7 linked regions of the Sus scrofa genome follow. The main gene of each other region encodes a partner of the protein of the gene in region 5 in a complex. Links are inferred from orthologs where the notes say so. Each region holds a gene or a part of one and is shown on either strand. Other genes may lie near its edges. The genes, in order: DPF3, SMARCC2, SMARCD1, PBRM1, SMARCA4, SMARCD2 and ARID1A.

Region 1 (3,500 bases), on a different chromosome or scaffold from region 5:
AGATAGAGGGGGGATTCCAGATGTGGGCAAAGCACAAAGCATGTTCAGGGGACAGTGACGACCCCAAATGGGGCCTGGAAGATGGATGATGAAAATATGGCTGGAGGCGTGGGCAGATGTTGGTTCTGAATAACTCAGTCTTTCCTCCTCTCCACCTTCTGTGCGTTCCACTAGGACCAGCTGCTCTTCTGCGATGACTGTGACCGCGGCTATCACATGTACTGTTTAAATCCTCCAGTGGCTGAACCCCCAGAAGGTAAGGATGATGGGGTTGACAAAAACAACAGCTACTTCCACCACTTACCGAGCCCTCGCTACTGTGCAGGCCTCGTGCTAAGGGCTTGACATGTCTTGTCTCATTTAATCATCACAACCCTACGAGGTCAGTGCGACCACTACCATGCTACAGATGAAGAAACTGAGGCACAGCTTCAACCAGAGATTTCAACTTGAGGGCCAGAGAGATGATTCCCAGACATACGGCTGAGATGAGGGGAGGTGTGAGCTTCTAGGGGAAAGGGGAGACCCAGGGATGCTGGTTAAAAGGCACAGCCAAGAGGGCTGGTCCTTCCAGCAGTCAGCTGACCATCTCCGAGCACTTACTGTTTTCTCAGCTGAGGGACAGACTTCAGAACGTTTTCAGGCCTGGGCCTCCTCTCTGAATCATGCAAGTCCAATAAAAGAGGGCTTGCAAAGGGTTTAGGGCCCAGGGGTTGGAGAGGGGCAGCCAGTAACACCATCTCGTTTCTTACAGGGAGCTGGAGCTGCCACTTATGCTGGGAACTGCTCAAAGAAAAAGCCTCGGCCTTCGGCTGCCAGGCCTAGGGCCCCAGGTCACGGGATGTGACTTGCTGCCGGAGAGGCTGAACCTGAGCCCGGTTCAAACCAGATCGAGCCCCTACTCCCATATATCCAGACAGACCAACTGTTAGGAACATCAGTGACCACAGAGGGCGTGGACACATGGAAGCAAGAGGGTGAGGGGTCCGCTCACCTCCTACACACGGGTCTCCGTACTCAGCCAGCACCCCCTTGTTTCTGCCAGAAAGATGGGAAACTTTCGAAGAACGAGCCCAGCCGCAGCCCCATGGAGGCCCCTCGCCCTCACCCCAGCCCTGCGTTGCTCGCACTGGTCCCCGTCGCAAAGAACCACTGGGCACCCTGTGACGACCCATCTGTCCCTCATGTGCAGTTTGGTGTTTCTATCTATTGTGTTCCGAGATATCTTCGCCCAGCCTCCCTGCCCCCAGCTTAGTCTCTTCATCCTGAACTCAGCCCAGGAGCAAAGGGCTGTGGAGAAGTTTTTATTTATTACAAGCCTCCCTGGAAACTTCTAGACTCGGAGCCCGGAGGCCATCTAGACGAAGGAGCCCTGAAATCCTTCCTTGCTCCTTGGTCTCTGTGAAGAGGAAGAGCTGCTTTTTGGGCCCCCCTTGGATGTCCAGGGGTGTCCACAGCCTGGTGGTCTCTGGATGGGGCTGGGGAGGGAGGGGGCAGCAGGGAGGGGCAGGTAGAAATGTTGAGATAATTCAGAGGCCCCGCTGGAGCCGGTCAGTATTTGCTGTCCATCGTGCAGCTTTGCCAGGGACCAGCCCCTTGGAGCTGGGGCCTCCTTGAGGAGAGGAGAGGGAGCCTGTGGCAGAGGAAGACGCCAAAACTCAGCCTTCCACTCAGCCTGGGTCTGGAGCTTCCCCGACTGGGACTCAGGAACCAGGAAGGTGAGTGAAAGGGCTGCCAGGTCAAGAGTCTGGATGACGGTACCAAGCACGGCCGCTGAGAAACTCTGCAGTATTGATGTGACACTGCGAATTCCTTTCCCGAGTAATTCCTTCCCTCTGCATCGTGTGTGTGTGTGTGTGTGTGTCATTGCCCACTGAGAACTGATTCTGGAAATTTCAGGATCGGGGAGAAAGGAGGGTCCCCTCGACAAAGAACTGGGGTGATGTGATAGCTTATGACCAGGATGAGAGTCACACAGAACCCTCAGCCCGAGGGCTGCCCTGGTCTCCTACGCTCCCCACTAGATGCCAAACTCTCCTTTTGAACGAGTGTTTCGAGAAGAAAGAGCTGTTCCAGGAAGTCTGTGTTAGAAGTCAGCCCCGGGGGCTGGAGCAGACCGGGTTGCCTTTGCCTCTCTGCGGCAGGGGCCACAGCAGCGACACACAATAACTGACACGTTTCTGGAAAACTCATTTGCCCAAAGGGCAGGTCTCGGTGAGCGGGACCCTGGCGCATGCTCGGCTTCCCTGAAATCAGCTCCATCTCCGTGGCCGGCTGCTTACAACAAAGACCCGGGTTATTTCTGTCCTTCGGCTCCTGAAGAAGCCCCTGGAGGCCCGGAGGCTCCGGCCACTTGGGCCCCTCCTGTCCGGCCGCAGCGTTCGGACTTGCCAAGAGCCCGCCTTCCGGGCTAATTGCTCTTGGCCCGCAGACCCAGGGCAGCCTGGCACGGAGCCGAGCCATGCTGATCTCCCCCGTCCTTGGCAGGGTGACCCGTGGTGAGAGAAGGGGGTCCCTTTCCTGCAGGGGCCCCGTGGAGGGAGTTCCACCCATATGTGATGATCTCGTTTAAGGGCCCCAGCAGATGGGATTTTCATCTTCATTGCAGGATACTTCCTTCCCCTGCTGCTTGGTGAACCTGTTGGGGATTCTGGAGGCCCAGAGAGGGTTTGGGAAGTGGCCGTGTGGTCTCATCACCCCTTTATCTGGGAGGGTCTCGTCGGAGGACAGATTTCCCCTACGGATCGCTCCGGCTCTCTGTCTTCCCACAGACCCCGAAGTGGGTGTCCTCAAAGGCTGGTTATTGGTTTTGAAAATCACTTTGGTTTAATTTTAGGAAGAAAGTCATCGAAATGTTCACATCAGTCATCAAAAGCCACGAATGGCTTAAAAGTTAAAAAAAAAAAAAATCAAATCTGAAACCAAAACAGTGGCCCTCCAGGTGACAGACCCCTTTAGAGCATTTGCACATCTGTTCCCCAGCTCAAGGCAGATGATGGGGTGGTCCTGTTCTCTCTCCAGGCGTGCCTGCTGTGACAGCTTGCAGGCCAAGGAGGGCGCTGTAACCTCCTGCAGGGGTGAGGGTGGCCAGGGCTCTGGACTGGACATCAGGAAGGCCCAGAGTTCCCTTCCTGGTTTCACTCCCGCAGGATGGGCCTGACCCCTTCCTTCTCAGAGACCTCAGTTTCTACGTGGAAAGTGGGGGCAGCAAAGCCAGTTTGTGGGTGGCACCTGCAGGATACTGCAAGCAAACAAAAGTGACGGTCACCTTTATCGCCTTCTGTACTGAAAAAAGGAAGGTGTTGGTCAACTTCACATTGCTCTTTATTTGGGCCCCAGAGAAAGAGCCAGAATATCACAAGGTGCATGTGGATGGTCAGGGTTTTCATTTTGCCCCGGCCATCGAGTAGCTGCGTGACCTTGGGCAAGTCACTTAACATCTCGGAACCTCAGTTTGCCTGTCTGTGAAATGGAGGTAATAAGACTTGTCCTGTCTTTTC
Region 2 (3,500 bases), on a different chromosome or scaffold from region 5:
GGATGGAGCCGGCACCCTGACCACAGCTCCTACCTGGCCCCCTCCACCCTCCCGGCCCCGTCAGTCCCGCTATACCTTGGGCTCCTTCTTCTCCTCTGTGGCCTGGCCCTCTGCCCGTGCCTCGTCAGTCCCGCTCTCCTCTGGGCCCAGGGGAAGAGGAAATGGGAAATGTCTGACAGTCTGTCTACCATGCTCTTCCAACAGCCCCTTCTCCTAGCCAAGACCTTAATGACAGGACCGGGGGGAGCCACGGTGCCTAAGGGAAATCGCTGGGGAAAATAAACCCCCACCAATCCTCCCCATGCATCTTGTGCTCCGAGGCCCGAGGATGGCAGGGATGGTGTGGGGAGGCAGGTGGCTCTGTCTCCTGGCAAAAATGGAGTCTGGGACCTGGCCAGGCCTCACCTATCCGCTCTGGCTCATCCGAGGTGGTTCCTGCAATGCCGCTGCTTTCCAAGCCAAAGGCTGGGTCGGCCTTGCCTGTCACTTTGGCTGCTTCTTCTACTTTCCGAACGTGGGCCTCCACCAAGGCCGTGGGTACCTCTTCCTTCATTTTGGAGAACTCTTCTGCAAGACCCAGAGAGGATGAGGCTGGGAGCGGGCAGGTGGGCAGTTCTGGCTCTCCCAGTGAGAGCTTCTTCACAAGCCCGGCACATCACCTAAACCTGCAGGGAGCTGGACGGGCGCCAGGACTGAGGCCAGCAGCAGACAAGGCCAGGAAGGCAGCCAAACTTGAGGGAGAGAGTTTTATGACCTGCGTACCCAGCCCTTCAAACGCAAACGACAAGGGGCTGGAGCCCCCCTGCATTACCTAGGGCTGACTTGGCCGCAGCAGAGGCCACTCGAGGATCGACGACAGAGGCCAGGAAGGCAACGGTGCTCATCACAGGGTTGCCTGACTGGCTGAAGGGGATGGGCTGGTAGGCCAGGGGGCCCAGGGAGGCCTCAGAGTCCTCCAGGTAAGGGTCTTCAATGGGAAGCCGAAGAAAATGCAAGATGCACTCGTCCTGCGTGCGGCTTCCCACATGCTCTGATACCTTGTTCCAGTCATCTTTGTACATTTCCAGTGCCTGGTGGTAGTGGAGACACAACTTCACTGACTCAGCCACCTTCCATGAAGGTCAGCCCCCCAACCCACTCAATGGAGCTGCTTCAGAGCTTTCTAGGCTGTGGTATTTGTGTACTCTGCTGAGTCCGAGGGCAATCTCCAAGTAGCACTAAGGAAGGACAAGGAGTTAAGGAAACGGGCCCAAGTCCCTGGGCCTGGAGCTGGTCCCTGGGGCAGGTGTGATGAGCGCCAGGAAGGAGAGGAACCGGGGCCAGATCACACTCTTCCCACTCATGAGTGCGGCTGGCAGCCTGGCTGCTTCCGTTTTCATACGACTCGCCTTCCCTTTTGCCCCAGTTACCTCCAGGAGTAGCAGCGTCTCCTGTTCGGTCCACTCTCGAGTGGCACTGGCCGCAGCTTTGCTCTGCAGGAGAAACACAGGCGGGTCAGAGGGAGGCGGCCGTGGTCGTGGCCTCGAGGAGCAAAGGTGCGTTGCCCCCGGGGCAGCCCGAGACGCCCTACCTTGGAGGGGACGTTCTTCTTGGTGTACATGTCTGTGCGCAGTCCGAAGTTCTGCATGTCTGTCGGTTTCTCCTTGCCTTTGTCCGGGAAGTTGAGCATTTGCTGGGAAGCAGAGGTCTGCTATTTGTGGAGGGAAAAGAAAGAGGTGAGTCCGCGTGCCCGCCAGGAGCCAGGGGCAGACAGACAGAGAGGACAGACAGAAGGAGCTTCTTTCCCACAGCCAGGGGCACCCCTGGACGGGACTTCCTCCCTCACTGCTGTAGCTCCTCTGCTCTCACGGCTCTTCTTCCCGGGCAGGGGCCCCCCAATAAAGGGGCAAATAAGAAGCCCAGCGGGGTCTACACCCCACCTACCAGCTCTGGCTTGCCCTTAGCCGTCTCTGGCACCAGGTCATCCAGCTCTTTGCCCTTTCGCCCAGCCTTGGTATCAGCATCAACCTGGCGGCCCTGGGGGACAGAGCTTGGCGTCATGGAGGCTGGGCAGGAAATGACCAAGCCGAGGCCCTGGAGGCCTCAAGACCAAATGCTGGGCAGCCCGCAAGCTCGGGGGGCACTCATGCCACTGTTCCGTGTTCCCTCAATGGTTAATTAGATCTGCAGTTGGCATGATTTCCATTTGTATTCACAGGTATCTTTACAGGTTCTCTTAGGAGCTGGACAAGTAGGTTCTAATCCTACATGTGTGACCTTGGGCAAGCCACATAGCTTTTCTCCTCTAAATTGTTGTAATGTATGAAATGGAAGTGGGAAAAAAAAATGGAAGTGATAAAAATTATGAAGCAAAAATGAAAAAATGTTGGAAATGTGACAAAGGTAAAAAATTTCATGCAACTTCATTTTAAGCCATTTTTCTCTCTCTGCCCCATCCCCCTAGGTTAGCCTGTCTGCTCCCTGAGGACAGGAAGCATCTCTTCTCCCTCAGCAAGTCCTCACAGTCTTAGGTACAAAGGCTGAGAGAGGGTGCTAAGCACACGGGGCTGAATCCTGTGGCCCTTGCGTCCTATGGGAAAGGAAGAAGCCTCAAAACACTTCTGAACCATTACCCTAAAAAACCAGAAAAAGAAAAGTCCAAAGAAGGCCCGTTTTGCCCACCCCCACCCTGACCCCACAGCCCCTCACCCTACCTGCGGGGTCTTGGGCTGCAGAGGCACCAGCCCCGATGGTGTGTCCGCCAAGACGTGGAAGTGAGAGGTGGGCGGAGGCCCCATTGGGGTTGGTCGACTCTCAGCGTCCACCTGGTAGTTAATCAGACCCCACTGTTCTAGGAAGGCATGGACCCTGTGAGGACGGAGGCAGAGACAGGGTCACATGGGACAGCCAGACAGTACTGGAGGAGGAGGGCTCGGGTGGAGGTGGGGGCACCCTCTTCTCTGCTCCTTCTACTCCCCAAAAAGTCCCACCTACTCCCAGCACCTAAATGCCAGTGACACTCAAGTCTCCATTCACAGCTGTGGCCCCTGCATGTCCACTCGCCCACTAAACATCTCTTCTTGGGTATCTCACGGGATAAGGTCCTTCACTACAGACATGCCCCTTCAGAGAGTGAAGGACTCACACTCCAGAGAGTGCCCCGCATGCCCTCAAGCCCCCCACACCCAAACCTGAACTTCACCTTCCCCAGAGGTGTTTTTTCCTGCTCGTCCCCATGCACCTTGCTGGCCTTTCTACTTCGGCCAAGAAGCATCTGCAGGCAGATATTCTCACATCCCCCCTGCCCCCCTCACGGCCCCTCAGCTGCAGACACACCTCATGATGGCACACACATCACCCGCCAGGTTCCTGCGGCAGGCGGTGGATGTGAGATACTCTTGGGGGTTCAGGCGGTAAGTGTCGATCATGAAGTTCCGATAGGCCAGGTAGCTTAGGAAAGAGAGGGATGAACGAACGATGAGAGGGCTGAAGGGCAGGAAAAATGCTAAGAGAGCCAAGGA
Region 3 (3,500 bases), on a different chromosome or scaffold from region 5:
AAAAGCAACTGTGAGCCTCACAGGCCTCAAGTCCCTTTGCACCTGTCCCGGGTCCTCTACCTTGAGGTCCCGGCACTGGGACTGAAGCCAGTCGTTGATGAAACCCTGAGGGTCTCTGGCGAAGCTCAGCATGAACTCCCGCTGGGTCTTCAGCTGATTGATAGTTTCTATTGTCTCATGGATCTGAAAGGAAGGAAGAAGCTCCTGACATCTCCACGCTGGGGGAACACAGGGCCAAACGGCAGACAGCGTCTGACTTCTCCTTGTGCCGCTCGCAACCCAGGAACAGAGTGTGGCCCAGAAAAGGCACTGCTGCCCAGAGCCCCCAGCCCTGGCTCCGGTTCATGTTCGTTCCACAGGTGACATGCCCTGTGTCCCTGTGGGCCCCATTCTAGTCTCCACAATGTCCAGAGTGGGGGACGCCACACGGTAAACACTTAATCCACAGCACAAAGGGGTCCCGAAACACTCTCAGGCAGAAAAGAGGTGGTGCCGAAGGCTGTCTCGAAAGCTCTGGTCTGTGGGTTTTGTCCTCTGCCCTCTTCTGGTTCTCTGCACTCCTCCTGGTGACATCATCTCCTTAGCTATCTTCCAGGACCTCTGACAGGGTGAAGAGTCCCCGGTCTGCAAACCAGAGCCCGTTTTCTAGACGCCCACCAATCCAACTGCTTGACCACTCAAGGCACCTTAAACTCTCCAAACGAAATGCACCATCTCTCCCCCAAGCCTGTTTCCAACCGGGTGCTAGGACTACGTGGCTAGCTGGAGAGCTGGGGGTCGGCACAAAGCCTCTTCTCCCCACACCTCACCCCGCCGTCTCCATCCAGGGTCCGAATCCTTTCAGTGCCATTTCACACCTCCCCGGGCTGCCTACTCCCCTCCATCCTCACTGTCAGAACCCTAAGTTTAGGCCCTCAGCACACCTCACACGCCTAACTGCCCCACCACCTAACTTCCTGGCGCCAGATCTGCCCCCTGAGAGTTCACTCCCCATGTGCTGCCGGTGATCATTCTAAACGCATGCGCACCAGGCCCTCAGTTTTCAGGACAAAGTATACACCAGTTCTCCCTGCATCAAAGCTGCCTCATGACTAGACCCCAGCTTCCCGATCCAGTTTCCTTCTCCAGGGCCCTGAGCTGAGATTAACACAGTACTTCTTGAACATGCCAGGCTCTCTGCACCTCTCGGGGCCTTCATATACCCTGTCCTCTCTTTCTGGAATGTTCTCTGACCTCTCTGCCCCTAAGCGCCATCATCCTTTCTCACCTGTCATTAACTCCCACGTTGTCCTTCAAGATTTAGTTGGGGGGTTCCTGTCCTGGCTCAGCACTAACGAACCTGACTAGTATCTATGAAGATGCAGGTTTGATCCCTGGCCTCGCTCAGTGGGTTAAGGACCCAGCGTTGCCGTGAGCTGTGGTGTAGGTCACAGATGTGGCTCGGATCTGGCATGGCTGTGGCTGTGGCGCAGGCTGACAGCTACAGCTCTGATTCGACCCTTAGCCTGAAAACTTCCATATGCATGCCCAAAAAGACCAAAAAAAAAAAAAAAAAAAAATGTAGTTGGGATGTCAGCTCTTCCAGGAAAGTCTGCCTGCTCTCCTTTGTGTTCCCAGAGCCTTTTTGGTTTTACTTGCACAGACTATGTCTAAAGTTAATGATAATAACAATAGGAACAAAAGTTGCCTTTTTTTTTTTTTTTTTTGGTCGCACCCCTGGCATATGGAAGTTCCCGGGGCCAGGTGACTGAACCCGTGCCACAGCAGCCAGGCAAGCCATAGCAGTGACAAGGCTGGACCCTTAACCTACTGAGCCACATAAGAACCCCACCATTTGATCTTATGCGCCAGATACAATGTCATGTCTTTACATGTACTGTCTCCTTTAATGCTTGTAACGACCTTAGAGAAACAGGTATTACGGTCTCTGTTCACAAATCAGAAAATGAGGCCCAAAGCTATTAAGCTATGAAGCACAACTTGGGTGTCTGGTTCCAACCAGCACCAAAGTGCCTCACATACACTAGGTATGAATACATTCTGAGTGAATATCAAGACTCAAAAGCAGGAGTTCTCACTGTGGCGCAGAATCTGACAGCAGCGGCCTGGGTCACTGCAGAGGAGGGGGTTCAATCCCCAGCCTGGCGCCGTGGGTGAAAGGATCTGTTTTTGCTGCAGCTACAGCGAAGATTGCAGCTACAGCTTGGATTCAATCCCTGGCCCAGAAACTTCCACATGTCCACTGAAAACAACAAAAGAAAAGCAGCCAAGCAGCTAAGCTAGAGGGCTGGTGGCCCCATCATCCAGGGCCCGGGCCCTACCTTGTTGTCTAGAGTAGCAATCTCCTGCTGGCTGGCGGTGGACAGTAGGAAAGAATTCATCTGGGTCTTCAGGGTATCGTCCACTTCCACATCAATGTCATAACAAGCTGTCTTTTTCTGATCATTCGGGTCAACACTGGGGAGGAAAACAAGGGCTTGGTAAAGGGCTTGTCCCCTAAGACCTAATCACACAGAGTCAAAAAAAAGGTCCAAACCAGGAGTTCCCGTCATGGCACAGCGGAAATGAATCTGACTAGGAACCATAAGGTTGTGGGTTTGATCCCTGGCCTTGCTCAGTGGGTTAAGGATCTGGCGTTGCCATGAGCTGTGGTGCAGGTCACAGACCTGGCTCGGATCTGGTGTGGCTGTGGCGTAGGTCGGCAGTTGCAGCTCCATTATAGACCCCTAGCCTGGAAACATCCATATGCCATGGGTGTGGCCCTAAAAAGCAAAAAAGAAAAACAAACAAAAAGACTGTCCAAGACTAAAGGGCAAGGGGTTAACTACAAAAGGGCACAAGAGACCATTTGGGTGCGACATAAATGCTCTGCCCTTTCCTTGTGGTGGTCGCTACAGAATGCACACATTTGACCAAAATTATTCACCCATATTTCAAATGGGTGTGATATACTGCATATAAACCTCAATAAAGTTGATTTAAAAAACAACCTCAATGGCAGAGTTCCCATCATGGTCAATGGAGCAAATCTGAATAGCATCCATGAGGATGCAGGTTCGATCCCTGGCCTCGCTCAGTGGTTTAAGGATCTGGCATTGTCATGAGCTGTGGTGTAGGTCGCAGATGTGGCTCAGATCTGGCTTTGCTGCGGCTGCAGTGTAGGCTGGCAGCTGTAGCTCCAATTAGACCCCTAGCCTGGAACCTCCATATGCCATGGGTGTGGCCCTAAAAAGATTTTAAAAAACAAAAGACAACAAAACCCTCAGTGGTAAAAATTCAAATGGTACAAAAGACATCCAGCAAAAAGTAGTTTCTCGGAGTTCCCATTGTGGCACAGCAGAAGACAAATCCAACTAGGAACCGCAAGGCTACAGGTTCGATCCCTGGCCTTGCTCAGTGGGTTAAGGATCTGGTGTGCCGTGAGCTGTGGTGTAGGTCACAGGTGTGGTTCAGATCTGGCGTTGCTATGGCTGCAGCGTAGGCCAGCAGCCGTAGCTCTG
Region 4 (3,500 bases), on a different chromosome or scaffold from region 5:
TGCTGATATACTTTATTATTTCATAATACTAAATTACTCCATCACTCAAATACTTTTGGCTAAATATATACTTTTCATAAAAGAAAAATTGAGAATATCAAACCAGAGGAAAAAGAAGCACACAGGCCTTGCATCATAACTGCTTATCATCGGAGGAAGGGTAGCGAAGACAGAAGACAGAAACTGTGATCCAAGTTACTCACAGGGTCTACAGTCGGAAGACTGGAAAGTCTCCTCCTTTTCCTGCTTGGGCCTGGTGTGGACACAGAATGGTGCCCGTCATCAAAGTCCCCGCTGACACTACTGGAAGGGGAGGTAGCTCTTCTTCTCTTGGAACCCATGGAATCCAACTTCTTCTATAAGAAATAATTAGCCATGTTCTTATACTTAAGTTTATACTTTGCCACCAAGCCCTCAGCTGGCCACTGACTACCAAGCTTCTGGTTCACTTTGGAGGATATTTAAACTGTTGCAAAGAAGGTTAACTACTTTTTTTCAGGGCAAGTCCTAAATCTTGCTTTAGCCCCTTCGCTTACCAGAATGCTACACTTACTTGGATGGGACAAATTCAGCAAAAGTATACTCATTTGTACATTACCAATTTTGAAGGAATCAATCACTTCTAGCCTCAAATTTATTCTGGACTGGAGTTTGGAAAATGCAGTGGTACACCAGTGTGTTAAAGGTATTAATCCCTTAGTCTCTGAGGCAGTTAGGCAGGCCTCAGGGACAGAGACCCCAAGGTGGTCACCTCTGGAGTCAGCAACCTCATTTGTTTTCCCCCGTGTTTCTTACAATTATGATCAATCTCCAGATGGGCCAGGATGTGGGGGAAAACAAAAAACAAAAAACAAAAAAAACTGGAAGCAGACCTTGATGCAAATATGTAGTGCAAAAGGGTAGAGGAACAGAGGACTGGTTAACCTTCTAGCATTTCAGATATGCCCTAAATTAACACACTGAAAATTGAGTTTTCTCCATTCCTTAAAACACTTAACATGACTTACTGTACCTATGCTAAAGTAGCAAATCTGTGTTTTAAAACTTTTCTGTTAATCCAGACTAACTTCCTTTTCAGTTATGTGACGTACTCAGCTCTACTCTAAGGAACTCACAGCTTTATATTTTCAGTAGGTGATCTGGAAGACCACCTCAGAAGTGAACTTTTAGGTCCTCCTTGGCCTTTCAGAAATATGTAAATACTTGCTCTCGGTTTTAGTAAGGCTACTAAATAATATTAACACAACTTTACAGATACACATATTTGACTATAACACAAGAAATGCAACTACTGAAATGATCTGCTACAGCTAGAGGGAAAGGGTGTATACCCAAGAAAGTCCTACAAGGTTTATACAATTTAACAACATCAGGCAGTATATTATGATTTCAAAAGTCTTTCTCTAAAGCAAAAAGAAAAAAGTGATCCCAATGTCATTCATCAACATTCAATTTCAGGAAACTAAGACACTAACAGCTGAAAGAATGGGCTGCCAGTGGTATGGAGAGAAAAACTGGGTATCTCCAGGGAACAGAAAGCAGAAGCAAAACAAACCAACAAATAACAAATTCTGGTAACCAACTAAGAAACAAGAGGAGTTTCTTATCTCTTCCTCTGAACTGCAATCCACATGGTGTTTAAACACAGAGTCTAAAGTGATGATGTTCCTTCCTACGGGACTTGGTTTGTTATACAGTGTATTAGTTTGCAATTGGCCGAAGCTTCAAAGGACTTAGACCAAGGCCAGCCAAATATTGCTGATCTTTGTTTGCTTTATAAAAGGTTGACAAACTGGCCTTACTTCATTAAGATGAAGAAACTAAGGACCAGACTTCTGTAAACAGTCTATGACGAGGACACAAGTGAATTTGATGAACATAAGGTGGGACTCTTTATGAAGAGGATAACAAAATTTAAGAAAGGTGGAAGGGAAAAGGCAAGGAAGGACAGAAAAGGAAAAGGGTGTAGATGATCAGTAATTTACCAGCTTTACCAGAGCACAACCAGCGCCTCGAAAAGCCAGTCTCCTCATTATGTCTGAAGGCCAAGTGAAGCCAGGGGGAGAAGGCAGGGCTTTAGAAGTGCTGATTCAGTGTTAATATATTCAAAACTGAAAGAGAAGAACAAGGCAGAGAAAGGGGAAATAAAAAGAAGGGTCAGAAAGAGCAAAAATGAGTACGGATAGATAGAAAACATTCAAACAGAACTGCTAAAGAAAGATAAGAGAACTGAAGAAAACAGGCATATCAGTTCTGTTCTGCTAAGCAAACCACTGCAAAGGGGCAGGCACTAATAGTACGCTTCCATTGCTTCCATTTTTAAAACCAAATGCTTTTCACATGCTTAAAGATGTCTCACTGAGGCTCCCCTTTACTCACCTGGAATGACTGTCAATTCCAGGAATGAAGCATGCCTGTCCAACTGCCCCCCAGTCAATAAGAGCAGAGTTCAATTAGAGTTGGAATGAAGGGTGAACACATGTGGAAGGCTCACATGTGACACCAAATGTTAGCAAGCTGGAACAAACTAAGAATGGCTCATGTGAGCAAAGAGTCTGAAAACTCACCAAAAAAAATTCAGAGAAAGACATTTCTTTCCTAAAGTCCTAAGAGCATTGAAAGGATACCACATGCAACTTTGGAAAGGTTTAAAAAGGGGGGGGTGGAGTTCCCATTATGGCTCAGTGGTAACAAACCCAACTAGTATCCATGAGGATGTGGGTTCAATCCTTGGCCTTGCTCAGTAGCTGAGGGATCCAGCATTGCTGTGATCTGTGGTGTAGGTCGCAGACGAAGAGTTGGTTTGCTGTGGTGTGGGCCAGCAGCTGCAGCTCCAATCTGACCCCTAGCCTGGGAACTTCCATAGGTCTCAGGTGAGGCCCTAAAAAGACCAAAAAAAAAAAAAAAAAAGCCTTCAACCATGTGGCAGGAGATCAAAATTACTTTTGCAAATAATCCACTGAAAATCAAATGACAAAAAATGTAAATCACTGGGGTATATGTATATATAGTTTAGACCATACAACATCAAAAACTCCTTGAATCATTAATTTACTTTGGTAAGAAAAAAAAAGGTCCTTATTACCTAAGAATAATTTTCAAATCTCATCCAAAGAATACATTTTAAAATGTATTTTGGAAGTTTAGCAAGAAAGGAAATGTAGGAGGAGCAATAAGACCTGAGCTCAGAAGACAAGAGACCCAAGTCTTTCATCTCTATCCATTTGATGTTGCTTGAGTTACAACCTCTCAGATCTGTCTCTTCATTTCTAAAATGAGAACACTAGAGTGTACATACCTCCCTGAGATTGTCGTGACAGTGAGATGTACGTGAAATCACTTTGAAACTTCAAAGCACAACAAAAGTGTTAAGTTTTAACTCTAGGACTGCATGCTCCCTTGGACACAGGAACAGCATTTTTTTTTCTTTTTTATTTTTTTTAGGGCCACACTGGCGGCAGCATATGGAAGTTCCCAAGATAGGGGTCAAATTGGAGCTG
Region 5 (2,857 bases):
ACATCTGCTGCTAGCCGTTACTGCTAAGGGCTAAGCCGGCTTGGCTCTGGTACGAGGGGCTTGGGGGCGAGACTCTGGAATGTCGGGACTCAGTCTTCCTCACTGCCACTTCCTGAGCGGTCCTGAAAGAGGGACAGGAAAGAGTAGGAGTCAGTCCTGCCCACAGGAGCAAGCCCCCCGACTGGGACCAATCCCGGCTTTAAACACACCCAGTCACCAACATAGGTGGTACAACTGCTTTCCCCAGTGAACGATACACACGAGCTCCATGAGGCTGTGGGTGCTGCCATGGCCAAATCCCAACATCATTTTTCTCCCAGGGGCTGCCCCAGTGCCCATACCCACTCCTCTTTGGGACCTGGGAAGCTTGCTGGGCCCTCCCAGCTCCGTACCATCGTGGTCTGTCTGTCCCTGTGCTCCTGACCTGTGGCTTTACAGCTACCTTGGCCATTCGTGACTACATAAGATCTTTGCTTTTCTGTCTGAACTTTTTTTTTTGGTCTTTTTGCTATTTCTTTGGGCCACTCCCACAGCATATGGAGATTCCCAGGCCAGGGGTCGAATCGGAGCTGTAGCCACCGGCCTACGCCAGAGCCACAGCAACGCAGGATCCGAGCCGCGTCTGCAACCTACACCACAGCTCACGGCAACGCCGGATTGTTAACCCACTGAGCAAGGGCAGGGACCGAACCTGCAACCTCATGGTTCCTAGTCGGATTCGTTAACCACTGCGCCACAACGGGAACTCCTCTGTCTGAACATTTTAAACAGCCTGGCGAGGGCCACAGAACACCCTGCTGGATCCTGACTGGGCAGATGAGGAGCTTTACAGCCAAGACACGCCTCTCCAGAAACAGGGCCACCCCTCTCCACGTTTACAATGTCATTAATGGCCCTATAAGACCATGTACATTGACAGTCAGATTTATCCTGGGGCACCTGGTTTTGCTGCTACTGCAGTTAGACAAGAAAAATAATGACAATGAAATGGTGCTTTGCTGGGAGCTAGGCCCTGGGTCGTCCCTGCTTCACAGCTGTGGAGACAGGCTCAGAAGTGAAGTGAATCGCCCAGGTCCCATGAACGGAAGGGCCAGGCACTGGGCTGCAGCTAGAAACAAAGCTTAGTTAAACCCAGTGAGTGAGTCTGCTCCTGCCGCTCACACCCATGAAACTGTCCATTGTGGGCTTGACGCTCCCGAAGCTCATCTTGGTGTGTGGGGACCACAGCCCAGGCCCAGGGGGTCCCCCACTGAGGAACCGCTCACAGCCCATGTTCAGTGTCTGCTCCGTTCTGTTTTTATGACTTTGGGTTACGGGTTTTTTGTTTTTTGTGTATGTTTTAACCCACTACCATTGTTTAGAAGTCCTTGTAGAGGCCAGGACAGAGCCACAAGCAGAGGCCTGGGCTGCATGGTTTGTGTCACATGCAGTGGTGACACTATGGCAGCCTTGGCTGTGGAGGGCCCTGTGCTGAGGGCGCTGGGGCCTGTCTGATGGCATCGCCATTCCCAGTGCCTCCCGTCCCCCCAACATGATAAAGACTGTCCCTGTCGGCCTTAGCATGGCAGCCCAGACATTCTGGGCAGCGGGAACCGGATGGATGACCTGCCTAAACCCCAGATGCCCACTGGCTCTAAGCGCACTGGTTTGAGGGTCACGTGGACCAGGGCTTGAGTCACATGGCATTTAGTATTGAGCCTCAGCTTCCTTACATGTGAGAAGCCGAGGCACCAGAGCATCTACCCTCACGGGACCACAGAATGGAGTCTGGCACCTGCATGGGCATGGATGTCCAGTAACCCGCCTGGCCTGGGTCCTGAGGGCCTTACCTCCTCCTGCTCCTCCTCACTGTCATCATCGCTCACCACCGGCTTGGCCCTGGACCCACGGCTCGGCCGCCGCCGGCCCCCCTTGAGCCGATCCTGGGCCTTCTCTTTCCGGCCAAGCTTGATCTTCACTTTGACCGAGCGAGCTGGGGTGGGACCAGAAGAAAGAAGATGTGAGCTCGGGAGAGGAGGGTCCCCCTGGAGCCGTGCAGATGGTGGAGGAATGGGGCCTCAGGTCCTCTCCCTCCAGTGCAGCTCCACCCACCCCCACCTGGGACTCACACTCCGACTCCGAGCCTTCCTCCTCGCCCTCCTCCTCCTCCTCGCTCTCCTCCCCTTCACTGTCATCCTCCTTCTCGATTTTCTGCCGCACACTGGTGAAGACCGACTGCAGGACAATGGAGTCTTCGTAGATCTGGGTGGAGATACACAGGGCTCATGTGCATGGCCCAATGCAAGGGAGCTGCCTGCCCACTTGGCCGTGGCAGAAAGACAGCTGGACAATCCTTTCCCAGCCCGAGCCCACCAGGATGAAAAGGTTCCAGGCAAAAGGTCAGGCATGTCATTCAGAAACAGCCATGGGTTCCTCCCTCCCTTGATGAATCGGTGAGCATCCTCTTAAAGGCTCTGAGAGGGTCTGCAGCAATGTGAGAAATGCATGCCTCTCGTTAAAGCCAGAGTTTTCCCCAATTTTATGACTAGCAAATCTCTTCCAGAAGGTACCCATCCCAACACTCAGGAGAACTCATAGTCTGGGCTCTGTGTGTGCACGTGGACTTAATCACAGGACAGGAGACAGTGCAGGCTTACTTTCAAGAGTCCCCTAGTGAATCCAAACAGATCCAAGATGTACATGGGCTGTTCTCAGGGTTCTCCTGCATGGACAGGACTGAGTCTGTTTCCACTATTTTTTGTTTTTATTTTTTGGCTGCACCCGCAGCATGTGGAAGTTCCTGGGCCAGGGACTGAACCCAGGCCACTGCAGTGACAACATTGGATCCTTAATCTGCTGCACTACCAGGGAACTCCTA
Region 6 (4,190 bases), on a different chromosome or scaffold from region 5:
CTTCAACAGGACTCTACCTCCACCATCTGGGACAGCAGGGGAGAGAGGCCAGCCCGATGTTGCTGCCTCCAGAGAGCATGCTCTGCCAGGGCTCAGAGCCTGTGGCCCTGGTGCTCCTGGTGGCTGGGCCTAAGGACCAAGGAGAAGAGAACATACCCCCACATACGTAGAAAATACTCTGAACTCTCTGGTGTGAACCCAGCAATCTGTGTTCTTGGGGGGGTTTGTTTTTCCCATTTTTTGTTTTCTTCAAGTTCCTTAGTAGACTGTGATCCACAGCTGGAAACACTGCGTGCAAGGAGCTGGGTCATCATTTCCCTTCTATCAACAAGATTGCCTATTTGCCCGCCGTGAGCTTGAGCGCCTTGCTCCCTGACTCACCTCGTGAGCCCCAACAGAGAGGTGCCCATTGCTCCTGAGATCTCAAGTCTCTTCTCCTGGAAGTCACATAAAGAACTTGAAAAGAGGCCAAGTAGGATCCTCTCTGCACTCAAGATGAGCTGCCTCCTCCTTCCCCCCATCTACCTTTACTGCCCCTCTGGTCCCTGGAAGAGAAGCAGGAGATGGGGAGAAGCCCACACAAGCAGAGGCTCAGTGCCTTCCTCAAGGTCTTGCTCCTGGTAGCCTGGGCTACCCAGCCAGCCAGCTCAGCCCTGCCACTTGCCCGAGGCCACCTGCTCAGGGGTTTTCCCCAGGCCACATTCCCCATGGGCTGCAGGTTGAGGAAAAGTGGAGGGGCTCCTATCTGCCCTTTAGATCCCTCCCAGGCCAACAGCCCAAAGGGAGGCACCTCAGCTAACTGGCCCAAGGGCCAGAATGACAGATGCAGGGACCCCTCCGTGACACCTTGGGCCAAGGGGGAGAGCAAGATGGGAAAGATGAATCCCAGCTGGAGCCGCTGGGACCAGGTCTGTCTCTATCAATACCCAGGCCCTAGGTTTTCTTTAGAGGGTGGAGGGAGAATGAGAAGTTAGAGGGAAAAATCACTGTCCCCAGTTAAGCATCTCTTTACAAAGTGAAGGCCCAGGGGTCCTGGGAGGATGTGTACCCTACTCTATGAGGATCCATTTGGGGGACCTCTACTGGAGACACGAGAATCTCCTAGCTTCCCTGAGAGATTAGCAAGAAGCCAGTGTCAAGTGCTGGGATACATGGATTGGGATACAGATGGCGTTGTGAGAACCTAAAAGGCTAATTAAAAGTGGGGATGGAGTTCCCGTTGTGGTGCACTGGAAGCGAATCCGAGTAGGAACCATGAGGTTGCAGGTTCAATCCCTGGCCTCACTCAGTGGGTTAAGGATCTGGCATTGCCATGAGTTGTGGTGTAGGTGGCAGACATGGTTCGGATCTGGCGTTGCTGCGGCTCTGATGTAGGCTGGCAGCTGCAGCTCTGCTTCGACCCCTAGCCTGGGAACCTCCATATGCCGCGGGTGCAGGCCTAAAAAGACAAAAGACAAAAAAAAAAAAAGTGGACAGAGGGTAGGAAAAGAATGGGCACAATTCCTAAGCATTCTGGGGCAACCAGAAACAATGAACTTGGGGGCTGGTAAGCCCCAACCCCAGGGTCAGGCTGAGTTCCTCACACACTGACCCCAAGAATGGAGTCTCTGCATCTCCATGGCCTTTGAAGCTGCAACCCAAGAAGCCCTCTGCAAAGCCAAGCACCAAAGAGGTAAGGACAGAACCCTTTGAAGCAACTCTCACAGGCTCCTCCAGCCCCAGACCAGCAAGGCTCACTGGAGCCTCTATGCTCCCCCAGACTAATCAACTCCTGGACACTGTGACACCAGGCAGAAAGCCAAAGAGAGTCTGTCCAGAATGGGCTGGGTTTCCCTCCTTTCTCAGGCCTAGCCACCACCCTCTCTGGTCTAACCCAGAGTCACCCCTGTGTGAAGGCCCCTGCGCATGACCCAGGAGTAGACTCCCCCTGCACAGGCTGGAATCGCTGGTCCTATCCTCCACCTCCTGTCGGTGGGAAGCCAGGCCCTTCTTCCTCCTCAGCAGCTGGGAGCCATCTCAGACACGCTAAAACTCTGCCAGTTCCCAACTAGAGAAAAAAGAGCAGCCTTGGAGTAGGACCAAGACCAATGTAGGGTAACCCTGGTTTCTCAGTGAGGGCCCTTTTCCAAAACTTTCTCATCACTTCCCAGGACCCCATTGCGGAGAATCTACACTAGACTTCTCAAGCCACCCGCCTACAATTCACTAGCTCCAACAACTCCTCCATCTCTCAGTTACTCAGAACCCCTGTTCCAAGACCTCACACCCTCCCAACAGCTTCAAACCCTTCACCCGAGAGTCGCTCTTACCTTCTCCCCTAACTCCTCCGCAACCACCTAGCCGAGCCCCAGAGTCCCTGGCTTTGCCCCGCACAGTGCCCCGTGAACTCCGCATGCAGAGCCCCTGTGCCCTCTGTCAGGAAGGCTGCTCCAGGACCCTCACTCGAGGCCTCTTTCGCCCCCTACCCGAGTGTGCTCGCGGCGCCGCCCGCCCCTCAGCCCTCCTCACCTGGTACTGTGCTGCGGGGCCCGCGGGGCCCATGGGGCGGAAGGCGGCGGCCCCCGGGCCCCCCACGCCTCCAGCCGGCCCCGGCCCCCTTAGCGCCGGTCCGGGCAGCATGCCGGGTCCCGCTGGCGGAGGCGGTGCTCCCAGGGCCGCGGCAACCGCGCCGCCGCCAGGGCTCAGCGGGGGCAACGGGAACCCGCCCGCGCCACGGCCCGACATCGCTCCGTCCCGTCCCGCGGTGTCTCAATCCGGGCTCCGGGCTCCGCGCTGAGTTCGCTCCGCGCTCCGCGGTCCGGGACTTTCCGATCTAAATTCCGGGTTCTGGGGTTTGTTGATCCGGGTTCCGGGATTTCCTAATCCAAGTTCGCGAGTTCCTCACAAACCCAGTTTGGGGCCGGGCCGGTCTTGATTCCGGTCCTGCCCGGGAAATTCCGGATCCGGGATCCGCTACGGGCCCGCTAGCCTTCGCCGGTCTCTGGAGGTTTCAACGCCAGCGTCCAGTTACCCAGAAGCTGCAGTTAACTCCCTCCCCCGCCTAACCCAGCCCAGCGCTAGGCCCCGCCTATACCCAGCTGGCCAATGCGAGGATGCCCCCTCAAATACCGCCCTCGCGAGACCCGCCCCCCTACAGGCACCGCCTCTAACCGCCGGTCCCCGGAGCCCCGCCCATACCCTTGGGCCGGCCCTCCACTGGAGGGGAGGGGGCGGAAGCAACTCAAGAAATGCAGAAGGTCAGAGGTCGAAGGTCACTAGCACTACTGTAGTAAACGGGTAGTTGCTGCTCTCTTCCCCCCTTGCGGCTGGTTCGCCGAGGTACCCAGCCTCGGTCCCTGAAAATAGTTGTCAGAGCTCCTTTCTACGTTTTAACATTACAGACAACTTAAAGCTGCTTTCTGCGGCAGAACAGCCGCCAGCGTGACTCTAAAAGCCCATCCTAGTGGCTCAGAGCTGTCAAGAGACTTGGCTGCTCCAGACCCTATGCAGCTGTGCGAAGAGTGGACTTGGCCAAGCGCCAAGTTTTTATCGCATATTTCGAACGTGCCTCTGCCTCACTTTAAGGAATTCTAATACTTTACTCCAGAGGAAATGTTTCTAGGAGAAGGAAGTTTGCATTATGAGAAACCCCTAAGTTAAATAAGGTCTTTCTCCAGGATTTAAAGCACTATTCAAAAACTTAATACCTTTTCGGAAATCAGATCTGTGTTAGCAGGTATGCAAAATAAAGCTGCTTCAGCTGTGCCAGGGAGCCCCTCTGACATTCTGGGATTTTTTTTCCCCATGATACAGACCAGTGCTTCTTTAAGGAGCATAAGAAACATCTGAGGCTTTTGTTAAAAATGCAGATTAAGTTTCAGTAGGCCTGGGTTCTAGGGTAGGCTCAAGATTCTGCATTCCTAACAAGCTCCTGAGCAATGCTGTTGTTACTCAGACTACACTTTTTAAGTATCCAAGATAGACTTTTTTACCATACAAATCCTCTCCTTTGTTTTCATCCCCAACCAAGACTTGCCCCACAGCGTTCCACATTTATAGAGCAACCATTTTTAGTCAGTTTTGCTCATCTGTACTTCCTGGTATCTTTCCTCCAGTGATAAACCCTGCTTTTGCTGCTGCTTTCCTGCCTCTTGGTCTTCTCAGGGATCCCTCTCCTCTTTCTCCCTAAAAGTGGGTTACCTGTCAGTCTG
Region 7 (3,500 bases), on a different chromosome or scaffold from region 5:
GCTTCTACCATCTCCATCTTCTCTGTCCTTCACCTGAGCCCACACCTAAGAGCCCAAGATTTAAAACAAACTTTAAACAGTGTCTAGATCTCTAGAGATCACAAACATATTCTTCCCTGGGCAGGAAACCAAAACAATAATAAGGCCGGTCTATAAATTCCTTTCAGATTTTTGAGCCTGAATTCAAGGAATAGTTCATTTAGCTGAATATCATCAAAACATCCAATCAGAAACTGGTTTTCTTTGCTTTCCTCTCTGCCCTCATCATCTTTAATCTATCTATCTATGTATCTATGTATGTATGTATGTATGTATGTATGTATCTATCTATCTATCTATCTATCTATTTATCTATCAGCTCCCCCTTGGCATATGGAGTTCTTGGGCCAGGGATGAGGGGTCAGATCCAAGCTGCAGCTGCAATGTGAGCCACAGCTGCAGCAATGCTGGATCCTTAACCCACTGTGCCAGGCCGGGCTCCCAAGACACCTGGGATCCCACTGTGCCACAGCAGGAACTCCCCCTCCCCCCATCATCTTTTAGAAGGTGACAGAAATACTCACAGGCAAGCTTGAGGGTCTTGACTGAAGACTCAGATTCATATCTTCTTGCCCTCCCTTACTGGAGGTCATTGAGGGGGCTGAGGATGCCTGAGACCCAAATGAATCTTGAGATAACTCCTAAAATAAGAAAAACAAAAGTTGTGAGAGTCTGGTATTAATAAACCAGGCAAGCTTGCTTCATGGTGAAACAGCTATGGGACTTTCTTACACAGGGGAAGCTGGGTGTGAATGATCGCCCAATCACACACAATATTATCCAAAAGCAGAAAAATACAAACTGTGGCTCTCAAGAGCATCAAAAGTGGACATAAAACCCTTTCTGATGGCACTGCTAACCATTTATCACCACCCACAGAAAGCTGTTCCTTGGGGATAAATGCTAAAGTCTGGCTAACTACAAATTATATTTATCAAGGAATGAGCCTAATTAATTAAAAAAAAAAATCCTCACATTAGAACCTGTGCATTAAAATGAGTATTGCTTCCGGGAGAGTTCCCGTCGTGGGCTCAGTGGTTAATGAACCCAACTAGTATCCATGAAGATTCAGTTCAATCCCGGGCCTTGCTCAGTAGGTTAAGGATCCCATGTTGCCATGAGCTCTGGTGTAGGTCTCAGACACGGCTCGGATCCAGCCACGGCTCGGATCCAGCAGTGCTGTGGCTATGGTAAAGGCCTGCAGCTACAGCTCTGATTCGACCCCTAGCCTGGGAACCTCCATATGCCATGAGTGCAGTCCTGAAAAGACAAAAAAAGACCAAAAAAAAAAAAAAAAAAAAAAAAAAAAAAAAAAAAAAAAAAAAAAAAAGAAAAGAAAAAAAAGAAAGAAAAAAAAAGAATATTGCTTCCTTTAAAGACACACCTGGGGATGAGAAAATTATTCCAACAATGCCACCAATGAACAAAATCTTTAGTGGACTTATCATCACTCAGTAATTTCTCCTCTTTTTGCTCTTAAAAGAATAAAGCCCAAATTGTTATTTTTAGACTTTATCACCTACCTTGTTCATAGACATGGCAATAAATGAATTTTAGAAATCTGATATTTCCCAAAATCAAATCCAGTCTCAAAAAAATAAAAGGATTTGCTACCACCACTGAGAATATTCTAAAGGATGTAATGTCAGCTCTGATGGCAATTTCAAATGAAGGGGTCCAGAATATTTTGAGCAATAGCAGAATGAACGGCAGTTGGAATGAATGTATAATACAGCATCCCAAGTGACTGTTTTTTAAAAAGACCAGGGGTTTCCACTGTGGCACAGTGGAAACAAATCCGACTAGGAACCATGAGGTTGTGGGTTCGATCCCTGGCCTCGCTCAGTGGGTTAAGGATCCGGTGTTGCTGTGAGCTATGGTGTGGGTTGCAGATGTGGCTTGGATCTGGCATTGCTGTGGCTGTGGTCTAGGCCAGCAGCTGTAGCTCCAATTCGACCCCTAGCCTGGGAACCTCCATATGCCAAGGTGCGGCCCTAAAAAGCAAAAAAAACCCCAAAAACCCAACTTCACTTGGATGCTCAAGTTCTGAATGCTAAGTTAAAAAAAAAAAAAAAAATCAGCCCCCTTATCTTTATTAGTCTATGCAACTTTCCATTGCCCTACTTTATCAATAAGGAGAGCTACAGGTTTCTATGCAGTTATGCCTTTATTAGTTCAATCAATCCAGTTAGCATGTTTACCCAGATTTTAATTGGTTTTTAAGTGCACATTAGAGTACCAATCTGGATGGCAAAGTTCTTATGACACCAACCCCCAAACCGTCTGTGGTCACACACAGGGAAGGGCAAGAGGAAGGGGCATCTTACCTGTGGTGGAGGGAAGCGCTGCTGGGAATAGGCAGTTTGCTGAGACTGCTGAGTCTGGGGCTGAGGGTACGCAGCCTGCTGGGAGAGCGTCGAGGATGCTGGCTGCTGAGGTTGCTGCTGCTGGTAAGGAGACTGTGCCTGCGGCTGTGAGTAGGGGGGCTGGCTCTGGGGATGCTGCTGGGTGGTGGACTGCTGGGAGGGGTATGGAGTCGGGGACTGCTGATGGGGAGGCTGGGATGGCTGCTGGGAATATGGAGGCTGAGATGACTGGAGCTGTGGTGGCTGAGACTGAGGCTGCTGCTGATATGAAGGTTGAGCATGAGGGGTCTGGGATGGTGGTTGCTGAGAGTAGGGTGGCTGCTGCTGCTGGGGGTGAGGACTTTGCTGGTTGTAATATGGAGTCTGGCCCTGCTGACCATACCCGCTGGGGCCTTGTTGGCCATAAGGAGGAATCTGTAGGAAAGAAAAGGATACTTTTAGCACTGATACTTCTGGTAGTTTATCAGAAGCTATGTCCTGAAATAGCTTTACCTGATGAATACAGAAAGCAGGCAAGCCAAGCCTCACATTTAGAAGGCCTAGGGTTTTCTACCCACCCTGTTAAACTGAGCCAGAAAGGACAGCCAAGTTGGGTTACCAGTTGGTTACCTGTACAAGAGGACTATACTCATCCACAGAAAATTTACACTATTTAATATTTGGACAGCTTAGTTCAAGAGCAGCTGTTTTCACCAATGAGCCTACTCTTTTTTTATCATAGCCTATTCTGTCTTTATAAGTGCTAGAAATCTGTATCCTAGCCACAACAAATAGTCAACAGCAACCTGCCTAATCCACCTGAAAACCTAGAGTTTAGTAATCTAGGTGGTATGCCAAAGACTAAACTACCGTGCTTCTCTTTTTCATTTAGTCTTCCCTGAAAAAGTATTTGAGAGCCTACTTGCTTGCTTGTACCAGGAACCACTCTAGGTACTGTGGATATGTTTGGCAAGTAGGGGGAAAAAAAAAGACCAATAATAACCACCCAACTCTCTTCCATTTTCTCATTGAAAAAAAAAGTGACTGTATTTAAGGGCATACTTTAAAGTCTTAGGTTTTTATATTTATCCGTCACCATTTTTAGTGTGATTATCA

What was found.
Region 1: SMARCA4 (region 5) and DPF3 share a complex: the UniProt entries of both Homo sapiens proteins name them as parts of the BAF complex. The link is inferred for Sus scrofa from reciprocal best matches to the Homo sapiens genes SMARCA4 and DPF3.
Region 2: SMARCA4 (region 5) and SMARCC2 share a complex: the UniProt entries of both Homo sapiens proteins name them as parts of the BAF complex. The link is inferred for Sus scrofa from reciprocal best matches to the Homo sapiens genes SMARCA4 and SMARCC2.
Region 3: SMARCA4 (region 5) and SMARCD1 share a complex: the UniProt entries of both Homo sapiens proteins name them as parts of the BAF complex. The link is inferred for Sus scrofa from reciprocal best matches to the Homo sapiens genes SMARCA4 and SMARCD1.
Region 4: SMARCA4 (region 5) and PBRM1 share a complex: the UniProt entries of both Homo sapiens proteins name them as parts of the SWI/SNF-B (PBAF) chromatin remodeling complex. The link is inferred for Sus scrofa from reciprocal best matches to the Homo sapiens genes SMARCA4 and PBRM1.
Region 6: SMARCA4 (region 5) and SMARCD2 share a complex: the UniProt entries of both Homo sapiens proteins name them as parts of the BAF complex. The link is inferred for Sus scrofa from reciprocal best matches to the Homo sapiens genes SMARCA4 and SMARCD2.
Region 7: SMARCA4 (region 5) and ARID1A share a complex: the UniProt entries of both Homo sapiens proteins name them as parts of the neuron-specific chromatin remodeling complex. The link is inferred for Sus scrofa from reciprocal best matches to the Homo sapiens genes SMARCA4 and ARID1A.

Annotation. Positions count from the first base shown.
Region 1 is NC_010449.5:95,981,855-95,985,354, reverse strand, and holds part of DPF3 (zinc finger protein DPF3), read left to right. Parts: intron 1-174; coding exon 175-256; intron 257-754; coding exon 755-825; 3' UTR 826-3,500. UniProt on the Homo sapiens protein: Belongs to the neuron-specific chromatin remodeling complex (nBAF complex).
Region 2 is NC_010447.5:21,569,765-21,573,264, forward strand, and holds part of SMARCC2 (SWI/SNF complex subunit SMARCC2), read right to left. Parts: intron 3,430-3,500; coding exon 3,316-3,429; intron 2,848-3,315; coding exon 2,694-2,847; intron 2,017-2,693; coding exon 1,924-2,016; intron 1,691-1,923; coding exon 1,571-1,690; intron 1,473-1,570; coding exon 1,410-1,472; intron 1,071-1,409; coding exon 812-1,070; intron 568-811; coding exon 406-567; intron 141-405; coding exon 76-140; intron 1-75. UniProt on the Homo sapiens protein: Involved in transcriptional activation and repression of select genes by chromatin remodeling (alteration of DNA-nucleosome topology).
Region 3 is NC_010447.5:15,999,278-16,002,777, reverse strand, and holds part of SMARCD1 (SWI/SNF-related matrix-associated actin-dependent regulator of chromatin subfamily D member 1), read right to left. Parts: intron 2,458-3,500; coding exon 2,322-2,457; intron 184-2,321; coding exon 61-183; intron 1-60. UniProt on the Homo sapiens protein: Involved in transcriptional activation and repression of select genes by chromatin remodeling (alteration of DNA-nucleosome topology).
Region 4 is NC_010455.5:34,814,618-34,818,117, forward strand, and holds part of PBRM1 (protein polybromo-1), read right to left. Parts: intron 2,112-3,500; exon of another isoform or gene 2,034-2,111; coding exon of another isoform or gene 1,986-2,033; intron 357-1,985; coding exon 204-356; intron 1-203. UniProt on the Homo sapiens protein: Involved in transcriptional activation and repression of select genes by chromatin remodeling (alteration of DNA-nucleosome topology). Required for the stability of the SWI/SNF chromatin remodeling complex SWI/SNF-B (PBAF).
Region 5 is NC_010444.4:69,807,063-69,809,919, reverse strand, and holds the end of SMARCA4 (transcription activator BRG1), read right to left. Parts: intron 2,242-2,857; coding exon 1,855-2,241; coding exon of another isoform or gene 1,830-1,854; 3' UTR 501-1,829; downstream 1-500. UniProt on the Homo sapiens protein: ATPase involved in transcriptional activation and repression of select genes by chromatin remodeling (alteration of DNA-nucleosome topology).
Region 6 is NC_010454.4:15,090,536-15,094,725, reverse strand, and holds the start of SMARCD2 (SWI/SNF-related matrix-associated actin-dependent regulator of chromatin subfamily D member 2), read right to left. Parts: upstream 2,801-4,190; 5' UTR 2,725-2,800; coding exon 2,509-2,724; intron 1-2,508. UniProt on the Homo sapiens protein: Involved in transcriptional activation and repression of select genes by chromatin remodeling (alteration of DNA-nucleosome topology).
Region 7 is NC_010448.4:84,077,229-84,080,728, reverse strand, and holds part of ARID1A (AT-rich interactive domain-containing protein 1A), read right to left. Parts: intron 2,820-3,500; coding exon 2,367-2,819; intron 681-2,366; coding exon 564-680; intron 1-563. UniProt on the Homo sapiens protein: Involved in transcriptional activation and repression of select genes by chromatin remodeling (alteration of DNA-nucleosome topology).